Medicago truncatula: one gene and its partners. The protein of the gene in region 3 binds, or shares a complex with, the protein of the main gene of each other region. Links are inferred from orthologs where the notes say so. Each region holds a gene or a part of one and is shown on either strand. Other genes may lie near its edges.

Region 1 (7,637 bases), on a different chromosome or scaffold from region 3:
AAGAAAAATGTGCCAAAACCATTGTTTTTTGGTCATGGCCGGGGTTTGAATCCCGAATCTTTCATATTTTATGCATTGTCCCAACCAACTGAGCTAAGCTCACAAGGATGATTGTTTAATTACCGTTTCTAACACTGGAATATTTTCTTATTTAAATTTTGAACAATGTTAAAACATCCTCTCAAAAAGATGTTAGTAAAACACGACCTTTGTATTTGCTTTATATATTAAAAGTAAATCGACAACACAATGCGGTGAACACTACAATGTCAGATAGTTTTGCTTGGAGGGTATTGGTACCCAACAAAACTCAAAAATACCAACAAAAAAAAAATCAATTCATTTTTATTGTCTGTATTTTTCAATACATTTTTATTTTTATTGTAAATACAACAATAAGAACTAAGTCTTATTCCCCTGTGTAAGGTCGGCTACATAAATTAAATTATGCCATAATGTTATGACTTTATTGAAAATAATAGAATAAAATTAAACATATTCTAATCAGTTTTGGAGTATCTATTAGAATAGCTCCAATACTCGTCACAGCGATCATGTAAATTGACCAACATAACACTGAATCTGATGATAACCAGGTGTTAATACACTAATGACGACAAGATTACGATATCTAGTCCAGAGATACCCACAATGGTTAGACCACCAAAATTAAAGTATCACCAAGATACGCATAATGATTCAATATTTTGGTGAAATGATGCATCTTGACGGTTACATATGATTCTGTGAATGAATAAACTGATACTAATGTCATAAGAGTTACTTCTGCAGTAGAACCAGTAAGCTACTAACAGTTACAATTCAATCAACTACAAGGTTCTTCATTTTGGATTCCAGTGCATCCTCCACACCACCCTCTTCGTCAGATTCTTCATCACCGTCTTTTCCATCAGGGTCATTTTCATCTAATGGACCAAGCTTGTCCGGAGATTTTTCAAATATAACCATTAACTCTTTAATACCTTCATCAGAAATGAAGTTTCCGTCAATGTCCAGACGTTCAAAATCAACCTTCTGCAACACAGTGAGAGCCAATTGTTGAGCCCCGTCTCTGGTTATTCTGTTGCAACTTAGATCGATTTCCTTTAATTGTGAAAGGCCTTCTAAAGCCTTACTTATCTGGATGGCACCTTCATCTTTGAGTTCATTCTCAGAGAGGTTCAACTTGGCAAGAAACTGCTTGGCTGCAAGGCAGTTTGCTATAGCAGGAGCAGCATCAACTGTAATATTGTTTCCACTCATCTCGAGAACTTCAAGGCGAGGAGCTGATGCCTTAAGAGCATTAGCTATAGCAATTGCTCCTTCGTCTTCCAAGTTCAGGAAGCTCAGGTATATCTCTCTTAACTCTGCATTCTTGGCAAGAGCTTTACTCAGGGAAACCCCACCCTCTACACCTAACATGTTGTCTCGCAAATCAAGCTTCCTCAAATGGGTGCAATCCCCCAAAGCATCAGATAAGGCAACTCCACCTTCATCGCCTATCCTTGTGGAGGAACAACGAAAATCCTCCAAGCAAGAAGAACGCTTCACAACCTCAGCTATAGCACGTGCTCCTTCATCTCCAGTCATATTATTATGAAAATGGAGAACTTTGAGCTTCTCTGTGGAAGGAATCAACTCAGAAACTGCTTGAGCAGCTTCTTCTGAAATTCCATCATTCATAAGATAAAGCTCCTCCAAACAGCTTTGTGATTTCAAGAGAGTTCCAAATGCTCTAACACCTTTCTCACCTAAAGCATTGTCAGAAAGGTTTAAATACTTCAAGACACTGCCTTCTAGAGTAGCCGAGAATATCCTCATGACATCAAGTGCTTCTGCTTCTGGTCTTCCAGCAATAAAATCTGACAGGTCTACTTCTTTCAACTGGTCCTTGAGGGATATGAAAATCGGCTTAGCGACTTCTGCTGCTCCTAATCCAAAACTTCTGTTGCTGAAGCATATTTTAGTGAAAGAATTACCCGGCTCCTTCAGTGGACTCAAAAGTTCTTGAGCCTCCTCTGCTTCAATGAAAGCCCTTTGGCCTTTAGATATATCAAAAACAGATTCACGAGGGACAGCAGCAGCATCAGAAATCACCGCTTCTTTGACACTGTTCTTACTAGGACCCATTTTAAGAAGTTCTAGGAGGAGCTTACTGCATTCTTTGGCATAAAGCTGGACTGCAGAACCTCCATCACCATCTGGCTCTTTCTCGTAATGTAGGTTTGCCGTGGCAAAAGCCTTGTCCTCAATTCTTTTAGCATTTTCTTCAGCCTGTTTCGGGTGCAAGGTTTCATACTTTTGAGTGAAAATGGATTTCGTAGTAAGATTGTTGGTCATCTTCTCCACAAGCGTCTGTCTAGTGTTCTGACTAGGAGGCCATAATTTGATTGAGAACGGCCTGTTCTGCGAATTCAGCTCCATATCAATCAAACCTGCAAAAACGATTCATGTAAAGTTATAAGTCATCATGATTATAAGTCACACACTAAAAATAAGTCACACGCTGAAAAAGTATCTGAAAAAATACGACACATTTTCGAAGCCCTTGCCCACTTTAGATATCAAACTGAAAATGTATCTAAATTCTGAAAGGTTATCAGTCATCATGACTATAAGTAACACACCAAGAATAAGTCACACTGAAAATGTATCTAAAAAAACAAGACACATTTTCGTCACTTGTTAAGTCATCATGATTATAAGTCACATATGTAAAATGCAGCTATGGGAGGTTAGTGTTAAGGACATAATACACAGATAACAAAAATTAATTTACGAATTGGATATAAAAAACTGCTCTGAAAAGTAGCTCAAGAAATAGGAGCAACGACTATAAAAACCCATCAAATAAGTAATTGAAATAATAATTAACAGATATCATACTGTATAGGCTGAATTGATTGCAATAATAAAGTAGGGCCTGTTTTTATTTCTCAATCATAATCCGTTGTTGTTCATGTGATAATCATAGCTAAATGAAACTAAGCAAAACAACAAATAAAATATGATGGTGGAAATTGGCATAGTCACACTTCAAGATGGTGGAAAGATATTATGACCATTGATGATGGTGATGGGATGAATTGGTTTAATACGGAATTGGCTAGGAAAGTTCATAATGGTTTAGATACTTATTTTTGGAAGACTAAGTGGAGGGGTGAGGTGGCTTTTTGTAACAAATATCCAAGGCTCTTTGCTATTTCAAACCTTAAAGATGCTAAGGTAGGGGAGATAGGAGTGTTGTCCGGCACGGGATTAGATTGGCTTTTCACTTGGAGGCGAAGGTTGTTTGTTTGGGAGGAAGACCTTCTTGCAAATTTATTACTCGATCTTCAAGGTTTTGTGACTTCAAATGGGACGGATGAGTGGTGGTGGAAGCTTGAAGAGGATGGTAGGTTTTCCGTGAGTTCTTTGTATAAGAAGCTAGAGGTGGTGGCGGGTATTGAGAATGAGTGGGGGTTAGAGGAGAAACATGTCTTTAGCCAAGTTTGGAAGAGCCCGGCTCCTTCTAAGGTGGTGGCGCTCTCTTGGAGATCTTTGCTTAATCGTATACCGACCCGTTTGAATCTTCTTTATCATCATGCTCTACCTCCAAATTTAAGTTTGCATTGTGTTTTGTGTGATTTGGAGGAGGAATCCACCAACCATTTGTTCTTGCATTGCAATGTAGTTAGCTCGGTTTGGGAGAAAGTCAAAAGGTGGTTTGAGATTGAATTCATTACACCGCCCAATTTGTTCGTTCATTGGCTTTGTTGGAATGCGGGGAGGACGACTAGTAAATTGTTTCAAATGGGTAGGCGTCTTGTTTGGCATACCACCTTGTGGGTTATTTGGAGGGCTAGGAATAACCGTATTTTTAACAATGTGGTAAGTTTAGCGGAGGAATTCTATTGTTAGTTGGATTACTATATTCGTAGTTTAAACTCTGACCATCACAAAAAAAAAAAAAAACATTAATCACATGAGAAATTTAATATTATGATTAACATACTCCCTCCAGAATAAATATAAACAAAAACAAAAGGTAGTTAGAAAATTGATATATGTGGATTAAAATTTTGCCACACACATTAATTTTTCAACCATCATTTTTGTTTATATTAATTCATTTTAAAAAAAGAGTTGATTTATTGTCAAAATAGGTTGGAGTGTCTCTAATATTTATGTCTTTACTTAATTCATTTTCTTTTCTTTTATGTTGTTGATAAATTTACTGAATTGATCGTCTATAAATCATGTATTTTGAATTTCTAGAAATCGTAATGCGATTGTGTGGTCACAATGGAATCATTTAAGTATGTGCTTGTTTGACATTTCACCACTGCTACCGTGTGTTTGAGAGCCTTGGAAATTGATAATAGAGAAGCTACAAATTGTATGATCTCTCGAAACGCACTTTTACAACAAATCCATCCTCAATACAAACATAGGCTTAAAATTGCACCAGAAAGTAGAATGGCTGATTGAAACGATAATTTAAACATACTTTAAACTTTCACCATTCTGGAGAAAGAGTGCACAAGGAGGGAGTTCTAATCAGAATGCTAAAGTGATTGGCCACAAAAATGGATTTGACACTGCATTTTTAAAAAAACTATAAGAAGGCATTTAGCACATGAGTATCAAATGCTTATATTATCTCATTTTCTTTTCTGTTGTTGATAATTTTACTAAGAGCACTGCTAAATACAGAAAAAAATGACCACGAAGGTGTCCCGAATAAATTGTCATGTTAAAAAATTTACAAATTAAATGGTCGTGATGCATTCACGAAACATTTTCTTGGGAGAAACAACATTAGCCTTTTTCTGAATTTATGTCTTTCACAACTCCATACTTACATTGTATATCATCGGTAGACATGACAACAAAACTCGCCCCCGCCAAACCCGATCGTCCCCGTCCCAAATTTAACGGGGAAAACCGATTTAACTAGATGCGGGTGTGAGAGAAATTTAGTTTTCAGTACGTAGGCGGCGCCGGGGGCGGGGGATGCTTACACCCGCCCCACACCCGTTTTTTAAAATTTACTTTATTAAGTTTTATAATCTTATTTCCATAAGCACCAACCAATTTTAATATATCATTACTCTTTAGAAACATATTTACTATAATTATTTTGCTCTTTTAAATTTTTTTTATTAAATATTTAATTATTAATATAGTTATTATTTTTTGTTGTTATGAAAAAATATGCATTTTTTTAAATATTTTATAAAAAATAGAGTTTTTGCGGGTGGAGCGGGGCAGAGAGACCTGTCTCCATTGGGGGCGGGGTTGGGTGTTCAATTTTTACCCGTTATGGTTTGGGGATGGGGGCGGGTGCATGGAAGTGGGGACAGGGACGAGGATGCGTAAACCAGCCCCCGATCCGCCCCATTGTCATGTCTAATCATCGGATAGAACTTGTGTGCTATTGAAATACCAATGTTATATAACATTGGCCAATGATGGCATGCCACATAACCGATGTAAGAAATGACTAAAGAGGAAAGAGAAAAGATATACATGTGAAGTGCTACGTGGCACACCCTCATTGGCCAATGTTATATAACATTGATATCCCAGTGATACACAAGTGTTATCCGTATATCACCGTGACAAAGGCCAAATTTTAGGCTATCATCCAAGCATTGCCATACTTCTTAGCGCTTACATCATTGCCACCCTTCTTAATTTAATTGAGACTTTCAGATAAGAGAAAGTCTTGCACGAACATAAGCTTTTGGACACACCACACATAAAAATATATTTTATTTTATTTTTTTGATAAGAAAAATACATTTTATTTAATTATTTAAAAAATAAATATGATCTAATTATTTTCTCTTTCTCTATCTTTTCTCAATTATGTATGTGTGCCTAAATTTAGTGACCAAACACTTGTGCCTAAACAAGTATTTTCCTTCAGATAAATAAGTGGTGTGGTTCACTTTCCGGTGGCATTTAGTATGGGAAAAGGGAGTTGTTTCCCACCATAGGAAAGTTGATTATGTCCATTGGATTAAATGAGTAACAAATCTTTATCCTACTCTCTCATACACTATATCGTTGTTTTACACTATCTTCCACCATCTCTCTTTCTTGTTTTTTGAATTCAGAATCATAAAATAACTTCTCAAATCCTTCTCCTAAGCTCATTAACACAAGCTTTAAAATTCTCGCCCAAAAGAATTAAGAGTTGCAACTTAATTTTAAAAATCAAAACTGCAACTACAGCGTTGTCTCAGGCGGTGGAGGAAAGACCATTGGTCCTATCCTAAATATATACCTGCTTCTTAGTTTGATTGCCTTTTTTAAGCTTTGACTCGACAAAATCTAAGCATCACACTTTTAGCATGGAGTTACCACTGATTATGGTAGATTAAAAGAATGAATTTCATCATTTTTATTAAACAAAAGCTTAAAAAGAGCTAGAGTGTCTTTGGATAAATAGCCTAATTAAGCACTTATAATATCTGAGTTTTCCAGCAGCAACATGGTGGTGTGTGGTGGTTGCTGTATCTGATATAGTGGTGGTTGTGGTATGAGTGTGTGGGACATGAAAGAGAGATGGTGGAAGATAGTGTAAAACAATAATCTAGTGTTGAGAGAGTAGGATAAGGATTTGTTTCTCATTTAATCTAATGGACATAATCAACTTTCCCATTGTGGGAAACAACTCCCCTTTTCCAGGCTAAACCCCACCTCACTTTCCTATTCGTATACTATTCAAACAACTTTCATCCCCACGAGGCCATGCTTCAGTTCTCATAACCCATGAGAGATTGTAAATAAGAGAAGGTAAAATGAAATAAAAGGATTGTACCAAAAAAATGAAAATAGATACTAAACCTGTGACGAATGAAAAAATTGATGTGATAAAAAAATGATGAAAAGTTGGCTGCTTTCACTGCAGACCAACCTCTTGTCTGGTGGGACGTTTCATTTTATTTTTGTCACAATTCTAACATTATTTATAGGAATCCCTTTTAAGAATTCTCAATGATTTACCAAATTTCTCAAACTCTAGTACAGTCCAAACTCCAAACCACAAGGCTGTGGAATCACATGCCCACAAAAAAACATATTCTAATCTCAATTACAGAAGAATACAAATTTGTGACTAAATTAACTTTTTTTTTATTACACTATAATAAAAATAGTAAGTACACCAATATCATGATTGTCGTGATTGCAGTATAAAAGACAAATATGAAATTCATTGAATTGAATATCCCATATAAACAAAACAGGATAATTAAAATTGATCATGAATTCAGCAACCCCATCTCCAATTTATTACAAAAATCAACAATAAAATTACCTAATGACCCTCTTCAAATCAAACAAGAAAAGAAGCAATACGTTTGACCATATCAATAGAACTCTGAGTTTCAGGATGATAAATCTGAAAACAATGTTCTTCACCTTCAACATGAACAAGTTCCACATCACCTTTCCAACCACTTTTCTTAACAGCATCATAGTACCAAATCCCTCTGTCTCTTAAATCATCATTCCCAGCAACAAAAATCAATATCTTAGGACAACCAATAATATCCAAACTTGGAGCATCAATAGCCAAAGGATTGATCAAAGGGTTATCAATCCCACCAGGTGCATCAGGATACACAAAATTCCATACTTTCATA
Region 2 (8,035 bases), on a different chromosome or scaffold from region 3:
AAATTAGACTACAAAGATTTGGACAAAAAGTATATATCAAGGCCGTGACAGTAGATTTTGAATAAAATCTCATCCCTGTAGCAACATTTACTTTGCTTGCAATTGGTTTATGTTGTTTATAGACTAAGCCTACAATGCACAACATCAAAAGTATGATGCAGTCCTTCAGTAATAATCTGCATATGGAATCAATTGCAAACACGACCAGCAATCAAGTGTAATAACCTGCTTATTGAATCAATTGCAAATATTTAAGCACGAATCAGCAATCAAAGATAATAAATTGCCAGCAAAAGGCACAATAAAGCCCAAAAAATTCTACCATTCATACCATTTGCCTATTTCTTGTCTTGCCAGATATATTAAGAGCATATATCTGGTAAACTTCAATAAGCCAAGTTATGGAATCGAAAATCTAAAATACAAAGATTAAAATGCTAGCTGCTCAGTATAAAAAAAGTATGTCTATTGCAAACATAATTGGCCTACAAATTAATCTGAAGTAGCAATCGCATGACAGAGTCCTATGAATCTTCTTAAATCTCAAGGCCTTTCAGTTTTGACTCCAATTCATCATTATCGGAATTTTCTTCAGCCTCTTCATCAATGTCCTCTCCTTCAGGATCATTCTCATCCAAAGGACCCAGAATGTCAGGTGAGTTTTTAAATATGTCCTTTAACTCGTCAATCCCTTCATCAGAAATGAAGTTAGCATTAACATTCAGCAACTTAAATCCAGGTTTCTGGACAACAGCTTCTGCCAACAGTTTGGCTCCTGACCATGTGATCAAATTTGTACTCAGATCAACTTCACTTAATTGGCCAAGACCTTCCAGCGCCTTACTGATTAAACCTGCACCTTCATCTTTCAATTCATTCTCGGATAAATTTAACTTGGTGAGGAACTGCTTTGATGATATACATTCAGCTACAGAAACAGCAGTTTTAGCAGTAATGTCATTCCCAGCCATATCCAAAATTTCCAGTGACGGTGCAGATTCCTTCAAAGCATTAGCAAGGGCTTCTGCACCATCGTCCTCTAAGTTCAAATAACTGAGGTATATCTCTGTAAGATCAGCAAATACAGGTATAACTTTACTTAGAGCAACTCCAGCTTCCACACCAAACATGTTGTCACGCAAATCAAGCTTCTTCAAATGCGTGCAAGCCCCAAGCGCTTCAGCAAGAGCAACACCACCTTCAGCGCCTACTCTGGTAGATGAACACCGAAAATCTTCCAAAGCTGGGGAACGTTTCATAACATCAGCTATTGCAAATGCTCCTTCATCTCCAGTCATGTTATTATGGAAATGAAGAACCTTAAGCTTCTCAGTGGAAGGGATCAATTCAGCAACTGCTTTTGCAGCTTCCTCTGATATACCATCATTCATCAAATAAAGCTCCTCCAAGTCATTTTGTGATTTAAGGAGTGCCCGGAATGCTCTAACCCCCTTTTCGCCCATGGCATTATTTGACAGGTTAAGATGTCTCAACACAGCTCCTTCTAGTGCAGAAGAAAATATATTCATCACTTCAATAGCTTCTGCTTCTGGTCTCCCAGCAATAAAATCTGACAGATCTACCTCTTTCAGTTGATCTTTAATTGATATTAGCATGGGTTCAACGACATGAGCAGCATCCAAACCAAAACTTCTATTACTGAAACATATATTTGTAAAAGAGTTTGGTCCCATCAATGGTTTTAGAAGCTCTGAAGCTTCCTCCCCATCAATGAAAGCTCTGCGACCCCCAGAAATGTCAAAAACAGTTTCAACAGCAGCATCACCCTTTTCAGATATCAACTCCCCATTCTCCTCCTTCCCTCTTGGTCCTCTTTTCAAAACCTCCAACATAAGCTTACTCGATTCCTTGGCATAAATTTGCACAGCAGAACTCCCATCACCATCGGGCTCCTTTTCAAAGTGTTGGGTCGCAGTCACAAAAGCTGCATCCTCAATTTCCTTTGCATCCTTCTCAGCCTCATCTTTGTTAAGAAGTCCATACTTTCTAGAGAAAATGGACGGAGTCGTCAAGTTCCTGACCATCCGTCCAACCAACATCGACCTAGTACTCTGACTTGGAGGCCACAACTTGATTGAAAGTGTTCGGTGTTGGTACGACGGTACGGTAGAATCCATATCAACAGAACCTAGAAACAAGTATAGCAACAAATTTAAAAGTTTTCTGAATCATAATCTTCACTAGTGCCTATAAAACAACAGAAGACATAAAACTACTATCTAAAATTCATTAATTTGCTTTCTTCTTCAATAATAACTACAGTATAAAATCAAAACCAAAGAACCACAATATGCATACATAGTGATGTATTTTAACAGCACTAGAGTTATAATGACTACATATTTCAGTAACCCCACGGATTAATCATTCCTTGGGACCGAATACGAAGTTTTCAAAAATGAAAATGACTACAACTTTTAAATAAACCCTAAAAAAATTAATTTGTACAAATCAATAACTACCAAGGTTTCAAAAAAAGGACCGGTGCCGGGATTGCGGCCGTTACAAAACGGTATCAGCAGCCACCGTGACCGTTTTTGGATCTTTTCACGCCGAGAACAAAAATCACAGGAAATCGCCGTTACGGACTCCGTTACAGACTTGAAAATTCAGAAATTTGAACAGGAGAAAAGGAATCGAATCTCATATTAAAAAGGAATCTGAATCTTATCGATAACAAGCAGAGAAGAGAAAGAAAAGAGGGGAATAGATCTAGTACCTGAGTGAGAAATGAGAACGCAGAAACCCTAGAAAAGATAAAGTGCAGTAGCAGCAGAGAGAAAACGAAAAAGAAGATTTTTGAAATGATGATTAAAATTAGTTGGAGCCTTTTTATGCTGGAGCGGGGAAAAATAAAAATAAAAATTAAATTTAATGATTTTAATGTTTGAAAATTGAAAAATATGATAAAGATATTTGGATAGGGTAAAGCGTGCGTGGAAAAACTGGAGGGAAATGATTGAAAATGAAAAAAATGTGATGGATGGATCAAAATCAAAATCTCAATCGAATCCAGCTTTTTTTAAACGCCACCATTGAAATTGAAATCGAAATCCCAAAGCGTAGATTTTCCGATTCCGACAAAATGATGGTTTTAGCCTGTATACATCTGAATTTCTTCATGCATGACGTCACAAACCCTAATTGTGGTTTTATTTGGGCCTATACTTGGGCTTTGGAAAATCTTTGACTGGACTAGCTTATTATGCTGACAAATGCTGAAAAACATTTCTCTTTCCCCCTATATCTCTTAGAATCCCTAAATACACACATTCGGTTCTTTTTAAAAGAAATATACATCCGATTGTTTTTTTTTTTTATGAAGGAATACACATTTGATTGTAATCTACTAGGATTTTTTTTGTAAAAAAAAAATACTAGATGTATGTTTATTTTGGAAGTTATCTCCTATACGCGTGTTTGGCAGAAAGAAAAAAATAAAACACATCTGGTATATAACTATCATGTGTATAAATGGGCCTCAAAAGAAATGTTAAAAACTGAATTATGAAAATTTAACTTCATACCCCATTAATCCACTCAAAACAAATTATTTACCAAAAATATCCTTTTAGTTTAACAAATATAAAGATTTTTTTTTTCAAAAAACACGTATCTTCTAAATTGACCAAAGATCCCAAAAGAAAGAGCAAGTTTTTAAATTTTTCCTAAAGTTTTGCTTTTTATAAGGTTTGTTTGAATATTTAAATTGGATATTTGTTTTCAAAACTTTTTGGTTTCAAACAAAAATTTTGGCTTGAATATTCAAACCAAATCTTTAAAATTTCAAAACATTTTCCCTTGCATATCCTAAAAGAATGGTATTTGACGTTTTTGAATTATAAAATATGAATTGTATTTATCCATTTTTTATCATATTCAACTCAATTTATTAAAATGTTATAATTTACAGTGGCATACTTTAAAATACACAACATGATTTAAAAAATATTTTTAAACTTTTTTTCAAAACCCTAGCTTCTTTTTTCTCTGCCCTCTCTCTACACAAAACTTACTGCCGCCGCCCAAAAATTCAATATATATTCTTGAGATGTAGAGTCCGTTTATGGTGGTGCGACGAGCGGCTTGAGCCCTCCGCACCACCTACCTCCAGATCTGTCGATGGTCCTAAACTGCAATTTTGACGGTGGACCTCTGGTGGAGTTGTGAATTGTGTTACGGCTCTGTTTCTCTGGCCGTTCAACACTGATTGCTTGAGTTTGTCTTTTGGTATGTGGTGGTTGATACCAGATCCGTTTTCTCTCTTGACGGTGGGTGAAGGTTCTGTTTGCTCGCAACGTAGGTGGTGATAGGTCGGTCATAAAAGTTGTGAGGCATATGATATGTTATGGTTTAGATGGATTTTTGGCTGTGTTGGTTTATGGTGCTTCGTGGTGGTTTCCGCGGTGGTGATGATACTGAGTCTTTTGTGGAGGTGCTTGTGGTGGTTTTTCGTGGTGCTCGTGGTGGTTTTTGTGGTGATGCTTGTGGTGGTTGGTCGTGGTTATGTTTTTTGAGGGTTTTCTTCTATGAGTTCGTTGTTGATGTGGTTTTCAAATACAAGGGTGTTTTTGATAGATTTGATGGTTATTTTTACGCTTGGTGTTGGAACCCTATAGATTGTATCCATCGTCGGTAGGAAGGGGAGGAGTAATGGAGGTTGCTACTGTTTTGTTTTGTAGCGGTTTTTGTTGTTGTTTTGTTGCTGTTGTGGTGTGTTTCTGGGCTGATAGGGTGCTGACAACATCTGGCTTTGTGTTTGTTTTGCATCAGGCCTGCTATTTTTTTTGTTTTGTAAGGGATTAAGTAGAGCTGTCAAAACGGGCGCCCCGGCCCGTTTAAGCCCGGCCCGACCGGGTCAAGGGCTTTTAAGGGTCGGGCTAAAAAGTCCAGTTTGAATATGGACTGGAAAAGTAGAACCCGAGCCCGGCCCTTTACGGGCTAACGGGCCAGCCCAAGCCCGTTTTTTTTTTCTTTCTTTTATTTCATTCTGAACATAATAACATTTTTTTAGTTTTTTTTTTTAAAAAGCAAGGGCGATCAGACTCTCATTTTGAAGTAAAATGGACCTTTGTTCACTGCCTAGAATGAAAACCCATTCTAAGCAAAGTGCTTGTCCGTCTAAGCAACAAAAGTAATGTTGTAATTTTCGTTTTGTCATGAAAATACACCATTTCCTTAATATAAGAGCAGCATGATGCATTTCAGAAAACAAATAAATGTAGAAACTACTTTTACCAATATATCTGAAATGAAATTCCTACATTATGCTTTGATCACCTTTTGTCTTGTGAAAATGCTTGTTCCACAGACTACAAACAATCGAATTGAAAATGCTTGCAGTCACCATGTAACATACACAGACCAACAAAAAAATAATAAAAAGTAACCCACTTGAATTTTTGGCGGGCTGCCCGAGGCCCGAACGGGTTACGGGCTTTTACGGACCGGGCTAAAAAGCCCTAGAAAAATTCGGGCTCCAATTTTTCGGCCCAGGCCCTGCGTTTTATTCGGGATTTCGGGCCGGCCCATACGGCCCGCCCCATTTTGACAGCTCTAGGATTGAGGATTGGCTCTATTGTCTTTAAGCTCAATCTGTTTCTGCTTTTTATGCATGGCTAGTTTATTTTTGGGGTTGTTAGTAATTTGGAGGTGTTCTGCCTATACAAGACGCATTCTTTAAAGCTAAATTTCTAATACAATAAAATAGATGGAGAATGAGTGAAAAAGGTGTGTCATCCCTCTCGCATGCCCTCCGAAAATTTTGGGAACAGAAGATTACGAGGCAGTGAAGGTGGAATCTTATATGTACAATCTCATATCCAAATCGATGAGGAATACAATATGGAGAGGATCAACCACCTTTTGACCATTCATACTAACCCTACAATAAGGCATAAATGTCTTTGTTGATCTTGTTTGTAAAAGGTCAATTGTGAAATTATGACTTCGTAACCATCCCAAAAGAAAACAGAGAAAAAAAAGAGAAGAATAAGGAATATGAGTTTTAAAATGAAGAGTACAAAAGAAAGGAATGGTATTTGAGGGCAAAGTTCAACAAATATTGTTTTTACAGTCAATTCAAACGTGTAATACAATCAATAAAACGTGTATAACACCGCACATTGACCCAAAAACCGTCAGACCTTCCAAATGTCACTGACGAAACCACTTTCCAAATTCTAGAATGTTTCAGATTATATGATCCAAATATATGTCCAATATTAGTTCATATTATATAATCCAAAATTGTCCAGATTATGTTAAATCTTGTGATTTGGATGGTTTGACACATTTCAAATTGTATAATCTAAATTAGTCAAATACATGATTTTTTGTGGTCCACTTTGCACCAAAAGTTTTCATGACCTATGACACATATGGACTTCTATAAATTGGCGTGTTTGGTTCATTTGAAAACCACACGACACAACAATGAACACTTATCAAATAAATATGAACACTAAACTAGCTGTAGAGTTTACTATAGCGGAGAAACTGAATCTACTTATGGTCCACATTGATATCACACTGTGTGACTTTAAAGGTCAGCTAGACCAAATTAACAGTCTCAACCACAAAGATACAAGAACGGTAGATAGTGTTGAGTATCGTCGTCTGTCAATCGATTCAGATGAGTGTGTTCATTTCACTTAGATGAATCTTCAGAACGATGACGAGGTGAGTACCATGTTCTTTATGTTTGGTCAGTATGGTTCAAAGAGACTGATCAAGTTTCAAGTTTCATTTATTAGATCTTTTTCTTGATATTCAATCGATGACCTACAGAGAAATCAAGGAATGCATGGATATACCATATGAATATTTTAGTTGGTTGTTCCATGATGTTGTTTATATTTAAGTATTATGTTTTACTTTTTTGTATTTTGTTATTGAATTATCTTGTTGAAATTATGTAGTTGAAATTGTTATGTTTAATTTATGCTGTTGTTGTAGAATTTGATGGCAGATTTACCTATTTATTATGTTCTAAACACGGTTTGAATTATATAATCTGAAACAAATCAAACCCCCAAATCACAATTTTTAACACAATTTATGCACGTTTCAGATTATATATTCTGAACCAATACTAGACATGATTTTAGATTATATAATCCAAAATATTCTAGATTTTGAATTGTGATCTTACAAGCAAAGTTTGAGCGATTTGTGCTTCTTTTTTGACAAGTTTGGTTCATTTTACACATTTTGTTTGACTATAGTTACAATATAGAAAGGTGTTATGGGTATAAATAATCTTGCATTCTTCTTTATTTTCATTGCAATTTCCCTCTTCTTTTCTTTTTCTCTTTTCTTTCTTACTTTTCCTTTCATGACGAATATGATGTCATGGTCGCTGTTGATCAAAAACTTCGATCATTTGTGGGATTTTTGTAGGATGGTCAACATAGACGTTTGGTTATTTATTTTTGATTTTTCTATAGGTCTCAGATTATATAATTTGAAATAACACAAATACACTACGAATTATACAATATGAACGGGACTGAAATGAAAAATTTAGATGGAGCACAAGAAACGAGTAAAAGAATAAAAAATCTCTTAATTGTATGTATGTTATGTAGTTACTTTTGCAAAGGCCTTTTTGTTGAGCATTTCTTTTATGGCATTGTCTGTCTCTAAGATCCCCAAAAAAATTTGGGAGATAACTTCCGAGGAACATTATTTATAATTTTTACCACCTTAGAAAAAAACTCACAAAAGACATTTTTTAGCAAAAAGATATTAATGGGGTTTAAAAAAAAATCTTCTTTTTTGTGTAGAGGGAAAGCCTTGTCATTTTTTCATGGAAAGTTATACCCCGCAACCCTATATTTATACCTTGACCCTAACATTTAACACAAAGTTTCAAATTTACCCTTTATATAAAATAATACTCAATCACTCTTTCACCCCACCTTTCTTCTGGAAAACACACAACAAACATTCACCCCCACCTTCTTCTGGAAAACAAACGCAAAACAAGCAATAAGCATTACAGGAACCCTTT
Region 3 (7,706 bases):
TAGTGTAGGTTTGGACTCCAAGACTTTTGCCACCAATTGAGTTAGGGCCTTCTTAGCTTTCTTGGTCCTCGCCCTTGTCGTTGGTCCTCCTAGCCCTTGAATTGAAGCACTTGTGTCATGGACAATCATGCCCTCATCACTTTTTCATTGAAAAACCCAATTTGCCACGTAAGCGTTTCATCACACATCAAGCTTCATATTTCATCTTTCGTACCTACAACATTATATTAATGTAAGGGTCAATTTCCTTATCCAAATCGGTTTATACTCAAAGCACAATAAACAATGCCTTAAAATAGATAGTATAAAAATTTCTCGATCAAAAAGAAATAAAAATACACTCAAGCCATATTTTAAGTAAAGAATTCAAGTGTTTGTGGGAGACTTTTTTACCCCGACGCCATTTATCTTGGTGGCGTGGAATAGCCAGACTTTTTCCCCCCAAAAAAGACCCAAGTGTTTGTGGGAGACTTTGCAGGAGGGTTGAATGTCTTCCTTTAGTTTCTGCCTGTGTTTCGCTTTGAGGCCTTCATCTTATATGGAACACCACTTTTGTTGAAACTGAATTTTGGGCAGTTGTCAACCCATCCTCCTTTGCACTTTGTTTGTGGTTGAAATCCCTCGACGGATTTTGCATCTTCTTTATCGAAAACTGCACTACACCTAGGACAAAGCATGACATTAGTGTTGGAAATCTTGCATCTATTGAGGAAATAAATAAGATCCTCTTCAGCCCTGGGATACGCCACTTTCATCTTTTCAGCAAATTAGTCTTCATTAACCATTGCATTTTCAAATTGGTGGTCCTCACTGACCATCTCAGCATCAGTTTGCAACTTCGCCTCGGGGGCTGGATCTTTAGGAGGAAGTTCAGTACCAAATTCGTCTGAGATGTCCACCATATTTATGGCAACTACTTCAGCGTACATGGAGTTAGCTTTCTTCAAGGGATCTGCATCAACTTGCATAGGTTGTTTAGCTTTGTCTCCAAATTTCTACCTTCCCTCGTCAAGAGCTTTCTGCACGGAGTCCCTAAAACGAGTACAACGAGACAAATTATGGCCTAAAAGGCCATGAAACTTGCAAAATCCTCTCTTTTTTCTTTGTTCAAAAGGAGGTAATTTCATATTTTTTAGCACTAAGATTATGCCATCAGTGACCAAGAGATCGAAAATCTCATCGCATTTAGAAACATCAAAAATATATGTTTTAGGAGGGTATTTGTCGTTTTTAGGTTCTTTAGGGTTCTTTCTGTTCGATGGCCTTAACAATTTACATGCATAAGGCGGCCCATCTTTTAACTTTGCCAAATTAATTTCATTATCTTCAATAGTATCTGATCCCCAATCGAATTCTGGGTCACTGTCTCCTGTGTCTACATAGGCAACTTTCTCCCTTTTAGGGAACCTGTTTGTCCGGGCTTTCTCATGCCTTAAGCCTTTCGACTTTTCGAACTCTATCTGCCAATTGTGCTATATCCCTATGGTCTTGAGTATCCAGTTTCGTTCAAACATAATAATGAAGGCCACCAGCAGCCATTTCGACCAATTCATGTTCTGGCACTGAAGTGAAACATCTAGCCTTAAGAAGACGGAATCTATTTAGATAATCGTCAATCGACTCGTGCGTTTTACGTCGAACGCTGGCTAGTTCCTTCCAACTAATCTTAGATTGACCCATGTAGAATTGCTCATGGAAAGCTTTTTCCAATTGATTCCAACTAAAAATGGAATGAGGAGGCAATGTTGTAAACCAAGTGAAAGCATTTTTTTTCAAAGAACTTGGAAAATATTTCATTTTCAAATTCTCATTATTTGCCATCTCACCTTGGTTATATCACGGTCTCTATAGTACTAGCTTGGATCGATTGTGTACCACCTGGTGGTAATGGTGGGTTTGGGTGATGTCCCTGACGAACTAGCGGCATTCGACGCCGCTACGTTCGATATGATAAGAGGACGCATCATTTCAGGAAGTTTCTTTTTATTTCTCAATCGCATACACAACGCAAACCAACAATATTAATCGTTTAAATTTCAAAATAAAATTTCTAAACAAAAGCAATAAATGTTCCATTGGACGTGCCAATTTGTTTACACTGAAATTTGGTAAACAACCGCTGGTTTAAAAATATTTACTTGCAAGATCAACCAGTAAATCTTAAGGACATATTGTGTTTGTTATTTTCCAGAAATTTATTATTGTTCTTGAAGAACACGATAAAAAGAAGTAAAAAACAATCGAATTCAACCCAGTTGAATCCAATTGGAATTATGTAAAATGAAAGTAAAATGAATTGCTCAAAAGAAACAAGTAAATTGTAAAGACATTTAAGAAAATAAACTTAAATTGCATTCATTGAATGTAAATTGGTACACATGTTCATACATTGCAACTTGTGACTCGTTTCTCTCTTCCATGCGGATAAGAGTGTAAGTTTTGTGTATGATTAGTTTGTGACCCTTTTTCTTTTACGAGAAACTACTATTTATACTAATATAAATAACTACCTATTTTTGAATTTAAAACTACAACTGCTACAAACTAACAATACTTATCCATTCGATTTGAATTTCAAATATTTGTGCCTATGGAAATATCCGTTACTTGACCTAATCCGAAACAAAACTGCCCTTCAATAACTACGTCTGTCGAACGATACATGCGCTTCGATCACTTCTAGCAAAGTCAGCTTCGATAAAAACATTCCTTATTTCTTCGATAATCAAGTCAACTTTGGTTTGACTGCATTTAAGATAGCCTTTAAAAATATAAGCTAACAACTATATATAAAGAAAACTACTTCTTCTAGCTCTGATGGGTTGGATTTTTCTTTCCAAAAATGCCCTGAATACAAATAATTCATGTAACAAATAGATAAGAATACATTTAAATATTGAAAAAAATGTGACAAACACATAAATATATATGTCTGTTTTTTTTCTTTATTATTTAAAAAGTGTAACAAAGTAGATGAGTATATTTACTTTTTCATTATCTCAATTATACCCTTAAACAACTTTTTCTATAATAAAGATTTTTGTCGGTGTCATTAAAAAAAGTTAGATTATATTTTTTTTTGTTATATTGTTGGTGTCATTGAAATAAATAATCATGATTAGTTTGGTTTGTTATAATTTGAAAGCAACAAACATTTATATTTATTTTTTTGAAGAAAAAACATTTATATTTTTAGTTTTAATCCAAATCAAAATTTCATATAAAGAACACTTTTAATAATTTTCAAATGTTAGTGCAATAAAAAGAGCGGAAGAACGGGCACATGCGTTTCCATCTTTTCGCTAGTTAGATAATAACATAACCTTTCACTTTAGCATTGTTTGTTATCTCTTCATAGGCTTAATTGCATGTTTAGTCCCTTATGTTTATTTTAGGTTTCACGTTGGTTCCTTATGTTTTAAAAGATTCAAATTGGTTCAAAACGTTATTCATATTGGAATAATTCATTCCATCACTTGACCGTTTAAAGATTCAGATTGACAATATGGGTGATGAAATTTAACATATTTAGAAAATGTGTTTCAATTTTTTTGTTTTATTAAACTCAATATCATGTCGCAGAAGGGACTAACTTTTTTCAATGTGACTAAGGTTTTTGACCAACTTGAAACATTTAAAATGTAAGGGATCAGCTTACAACTTTTAAAACATAAAGAACCAACTTAAAACCTAAAATAAACATAAGGGATCAAACATACAGTTAAGCCTTCACTTTAACATTGTTTTAACGCTATCTGATGTTGGACATTATCTACCAAGACCTATTTTTACCCACATTCAATTTTATGTTACCGTGTCTTGGATGAAAACTAAACATGGATTGAATATGTTGATAACCGTTGATAGCGGTGAACCAATGACTTCAATTGTTATTATAGTGTATCATAAATTATTTCAGAAAGTATAGGCCCTGTGTAATTTAGTTGTACCTTTCAAGTTTTCTTCTATGGGTACTGAATTGAGTTTTAAAAAAACGTAATTGTTATCTCAAAAGAATTTGTGCAAGAATTAATCCAAAATTTTTATAACTTTCATAGTTTTAGTTTTTGTTCCTATGTCTTGACGACGTTGTATAGTTCGTGTCGATGATAATTTCACCCAACACATATACAACACAATGGTTAAAGATGAATGATATTTGTACAACTAATTTTAGATAACTTTTATGATAATTATTTTTTTCCTTATTTATTGGACAAAAACAATAAAAATAAATAAATAAAAAAGAATAAAAGCACTAAGTAATTATGAAAGAGAGAATTGTCTAAAAAATTATTCAAGAATGATTGTACGTCATCTTAAACAAAAAATTTGTCTTAAATTATATGTCGTTCTACAATATCAATAAAATATTAATATTACTTTTTTTATTATATATTTAACTATTTATTACTCTTTCATCTTTCAATTTATTTATATTTATCATATTATTTATTAAAAAACAATTTTATAAAACAACTCATTATATCTTTTTTCCATATAATATTAATTACACTTTTTAATATGCGATCAAATTGTATTAGAATTTGGGATGAAATGACAATTGAAAGTTTTAATGAGAAAGTTGTTAGAATCCAACAAGAGGGACCCACAACAACCAAGACACTTTGAGCTTTACAGCCACCTAAACCGTACGTTGGAGGGATAGATCTATCTATGTTGTCCTGTCTCTCAATTTTGTTCTTCTTACTCTATTATTATTTTGCGTCGTGCCTTTGCCAGAACTCAAACTTAAACTCAATTATTCAAATAATCTTTATCAAAACAGTTCAAGATCAACGTGCCCCTCACCCCAAGTCTTCATTTTTTCTCTTTGATTTTTTCTGTTCCTACTCTCAGGCTCTAGTTTGACCATTTTGACTTCTTCCTCTTCAAACTTATTTATCCACAATTATTGGAGACAGAGTGTCACCACAAAAAAGAAGATACCCTTTTGTTTATTTATCTTGGAGAATGTGAAAAAGTGATTAATTTGTTTATGAGTGGTAGTTAAAAGACTTGGCTAGAACTATAAGTTCTTCCAGATAGAGTCCAGAAGCATTTATAGAAAGGTAAGGCTTTATTTCTCAGTTTTCAATTGATAATTTGATGTTAACTTTGGAACTTTCTTTATTTGTATGTCCTTCCTATGAGGAAATGAGAAAGTCATAATTGTTGTTTGTTATAGCTGTGGCAGTTTCATGTTTGGTTTGGAGTTTTGTTGTAAGCTGAATCTTCATTAAAATTGTTGTAATATTTTTGGGGAGTTATAATTGATGGTTTTTTGTGGTTATCTTTCATGGATTTCTAAGGATTGGAACATATGCTTATGATTGTTGTGTGCTGGATTTGTTACAAAACTACCATCTCATGTGGTTTCTGTTGTTAAGATTCGAGTAGATACTTCATTTGTCATGAAGCATGGATACTGACACGCCGACACAGTTAATAATTTGAAAAAAATCACATAATTCAGTGTAATTACAAGTATCGGTATCGTGTCGGTGTCGGACACGACACATGTCCGACACCGAGACACGCCTAATCCGAAGAGTGTCCGTGCTTCATAAATTGTCACTATCCAAGATCCATTGGGTCATGAGTGTGTTAAGACTCAAGAGTCACACATTGTTTGTGTTAGAACAATAACTGGTAACAAAAGATTAAAGAAACGCAAATCACAAACAATGGAATGTAATCGCTGTTTACGCAGTTCGGCTAAGTTACAAACCATATATATCGTATTACAATCCAAATTACAACCATACCCCTGAATCGTACCATAGGGGCAATCACCATCCCCCCAAAACAAATAGTTGGGCCTAACGTACAATTGCAAAGCTATAGCTGCATTTCTTCAACTACATACTCATTTTTTCTTTTTTAATGTTAGGGGTTAGTAGTGTTAGGTTTCTGTTAGTGATGGTTAGTAAGAGAGTTAGTTAACACATTAGATTGGTTAGTTTGACTAAGAAAATTAGAAGAAATTAGATGTTTCCTATAAATAAAAAATTGAGCGAAAAATAAGGTCTTAAGGTCGGGACTAGGGACTAGGGAGGTGGGTGTACAGACCCTCAAGGATTTACTACGTGTGCAAGTTATTTTCAATCTTCAGGTAAAGAACCCCATTTCGGTTGGCCTGATGGTATTGACTTGGAATCTAGGAGTGTGTTGCTACTCAAGGTCTCAGGTTTGATTCTTCCTAATACCAATTTGGATAGACTAACTTACCTTCTTAGAAAGAAAAAAAATTACCAACTGCTAATTTATGTTGTTTGTAATAGAATAGTAAAATTGCATTGCAATAGAGTAGTAACAGCCTATAAACGAATTCGATAAGTAACAAATTCTGTTTTTCATTTAAATTTCATCTCCTAGAAGTTAGAATAAAGATAGAGTTAGTATACTTAAGAAACTCTGATACTCTATTTTCTTACTTTAATAATGATGTCCATTGATGCTTGCATCCACTTAATTTCTATCTTATTTTCAGAACTAGCCTCTAATTTCTGAACCAAGAAAGAGATCCAAGAAATGGATGCAGCTTTAGAAAAAATCTACTCACTCAAGGGTTTCTCAACGAAAGAAAACGACATCCAAGATCTTGATATATCCTTGCAAGCCTTAACAGAAATAGATCATCGGCTAGCCTATTCTTCCGAGAAGCTGGTGAACTTACATATTTTGTATATTTATCTATTGGCTCGAGAAAACGATCTTGAAGAAATAGATTCGAAGAATACCTGCGACTTAGAAAACTCATTTGAGAAGGCAATGATGTTTGATCTATTGTCTGGCATTTTAGATTTTGAGGCAACAGAGCTTGACAATTTCATGGACACTCTACATGAAGAAATTGTTGATGCTCGTCATAAAATATTGTCGTGCAGACATTTGACTGAGGTTTTCTTTATAATGGATGAAAAATTGCAAGATTCCGAAGAGTCTGAGAAGCAATTACAACAACAGTTATTGGAATTAAAGATTCAGTCATCGCAGCTTCAGAAAAGTCTTGTGGCTTTCCAACACGAGAATTGTAAGTTGAAATATTACACAGATTTTTCTTTTCGAAAAATTTACATTGAGGTATTTTTCATTTATTTATCGTTTTTAGTCATTCATATACACAGGGGAAATGGGGAAGGCTTTGAATTTATTAGAAAATAGTCATGTGTCAAATGTGAAAGTGAAAACGAAAGATCAGAGAATGGTTGAACAACAGAGATATATTCTTCGAATGCTTGAGAAGTCGCTCGCAAGGGAGCTAGATCTTGAAAAGAAGTTAGCAGAGTCAAGAAATAACGAAGAACTAAAGATGAAACTCCGCTACACTGAACAAGTGGCATTTTATATGGAAGAAACAGCAGAAGTTGTTTGGGGAAGATTTCTTGAAGCAGACAATGCTACCGAGGTGTTAATGGGGATTTCGAAAAGTATAATGGGACGTCTCCAAGTAACTGAGTTCAACCTCAACGGTTATATGCAGCGAGAAAATGAGCTAAAATTGAATATTCAAATTTTAATCGAACAACTTAAGGCTAAAGATGCTGCTTTAGAGAAGAACGGGAGATGTAATGTTAATGTTGACGATATTCAGGAAAATACTGAGGTGTTGGATTTGAGGGAAAAGATGAAAATTCTAGAAGAAGAACAAAAGAATTTTGAGGTTCAGATAAATTCTTTGAGCGAAGAGAATGAAGCCTGTC

What was found.
Region 1: WPP domain-interacting tail-anchored protein 2 (region 3) and RAN GTPase-activating protein 2 share a complex: the UniProt entries of both Arabidopsis thaliana proteins name them as parts of the ran complex. The link is inferred for Medicago truncatula from reciprocal best matches to the Arabidopsis thaliana genes WIT2 and RANGAP2.
Region 2: WPP domain-interacting tail-anchored protein 2 (region 3) and RAN GTPase-activating protein 1 share a complex: the UniProt entries of both Arabidopsis thaliana proteins name them as parts of the ran complex. The link is inferred for Medicago truncatula from reciprocal best matches to the Arabidopsis thaliana genes WIT2 and RANGAP1.

Annotation. Positions count from the first base shown.
Region 1 is NC_053042.1:50,999,680-51,007,316, reverse strand, and holds RAN GTPase-activating protein 2, read right to left. Parts: upstream 2,608-7,637; coding exon 2,553-2,607; intron 2,436-2,552; coding exon 823-2,435; 3' UTR 556-822; downstream 1-555. Other genes in the region: 2-hydroxyisoflavanone dehydratase, read right to left, coding at 7,328-7,637. UniProt on the Arabidopsis thaliana protein: GTPase activator for the nuclear Ras-related regulatory protein Ran, converting it to the putatively inactive GDP-bound state.
Region 2 is NC_053042.1:35,965,778-35,973,812, reverse strand, and holds RAN GTPase-activating protein 1, read right to left. Parts: upstream 3,090-8,035; 5' UTR 2,741-3,089; intron 2,150-2,740; 5' UTR 2,139-2,149; coding exon 537-2,138; 3' UTR 217-536; downstream 1-216. UniProt on the Arabidopsis thaliana protein: GTPase activator for the nuclear Ras-related regulatory protein Ran, converting it to the putatively inactive GDP-bound state. Plays a role in spatial signaling during cell division.
Region 3 is NC_053047.1:21,516,555-21,524,260, forward strand, and holds the start of WPP domain-interacting tail-anchored protein 2, read left to right. Parts: upstream 1-4,655; 5' UTR 4,656-5,072; intron 5,073-5,110; exon of another isoform or gene 5,111-6,190; intron 6,191-6,493; 5' UTR 6,494-6,534; coding exon 6,535-7,036; intron 7,037-7,130; coding exon 7,131-7,706. UniProt on the Arabidopsis thaliana protein: Together with WIT1, required for the nuclear envelope docking of RANGAP proteins in root tips. Plays a role in nuclear shape determination.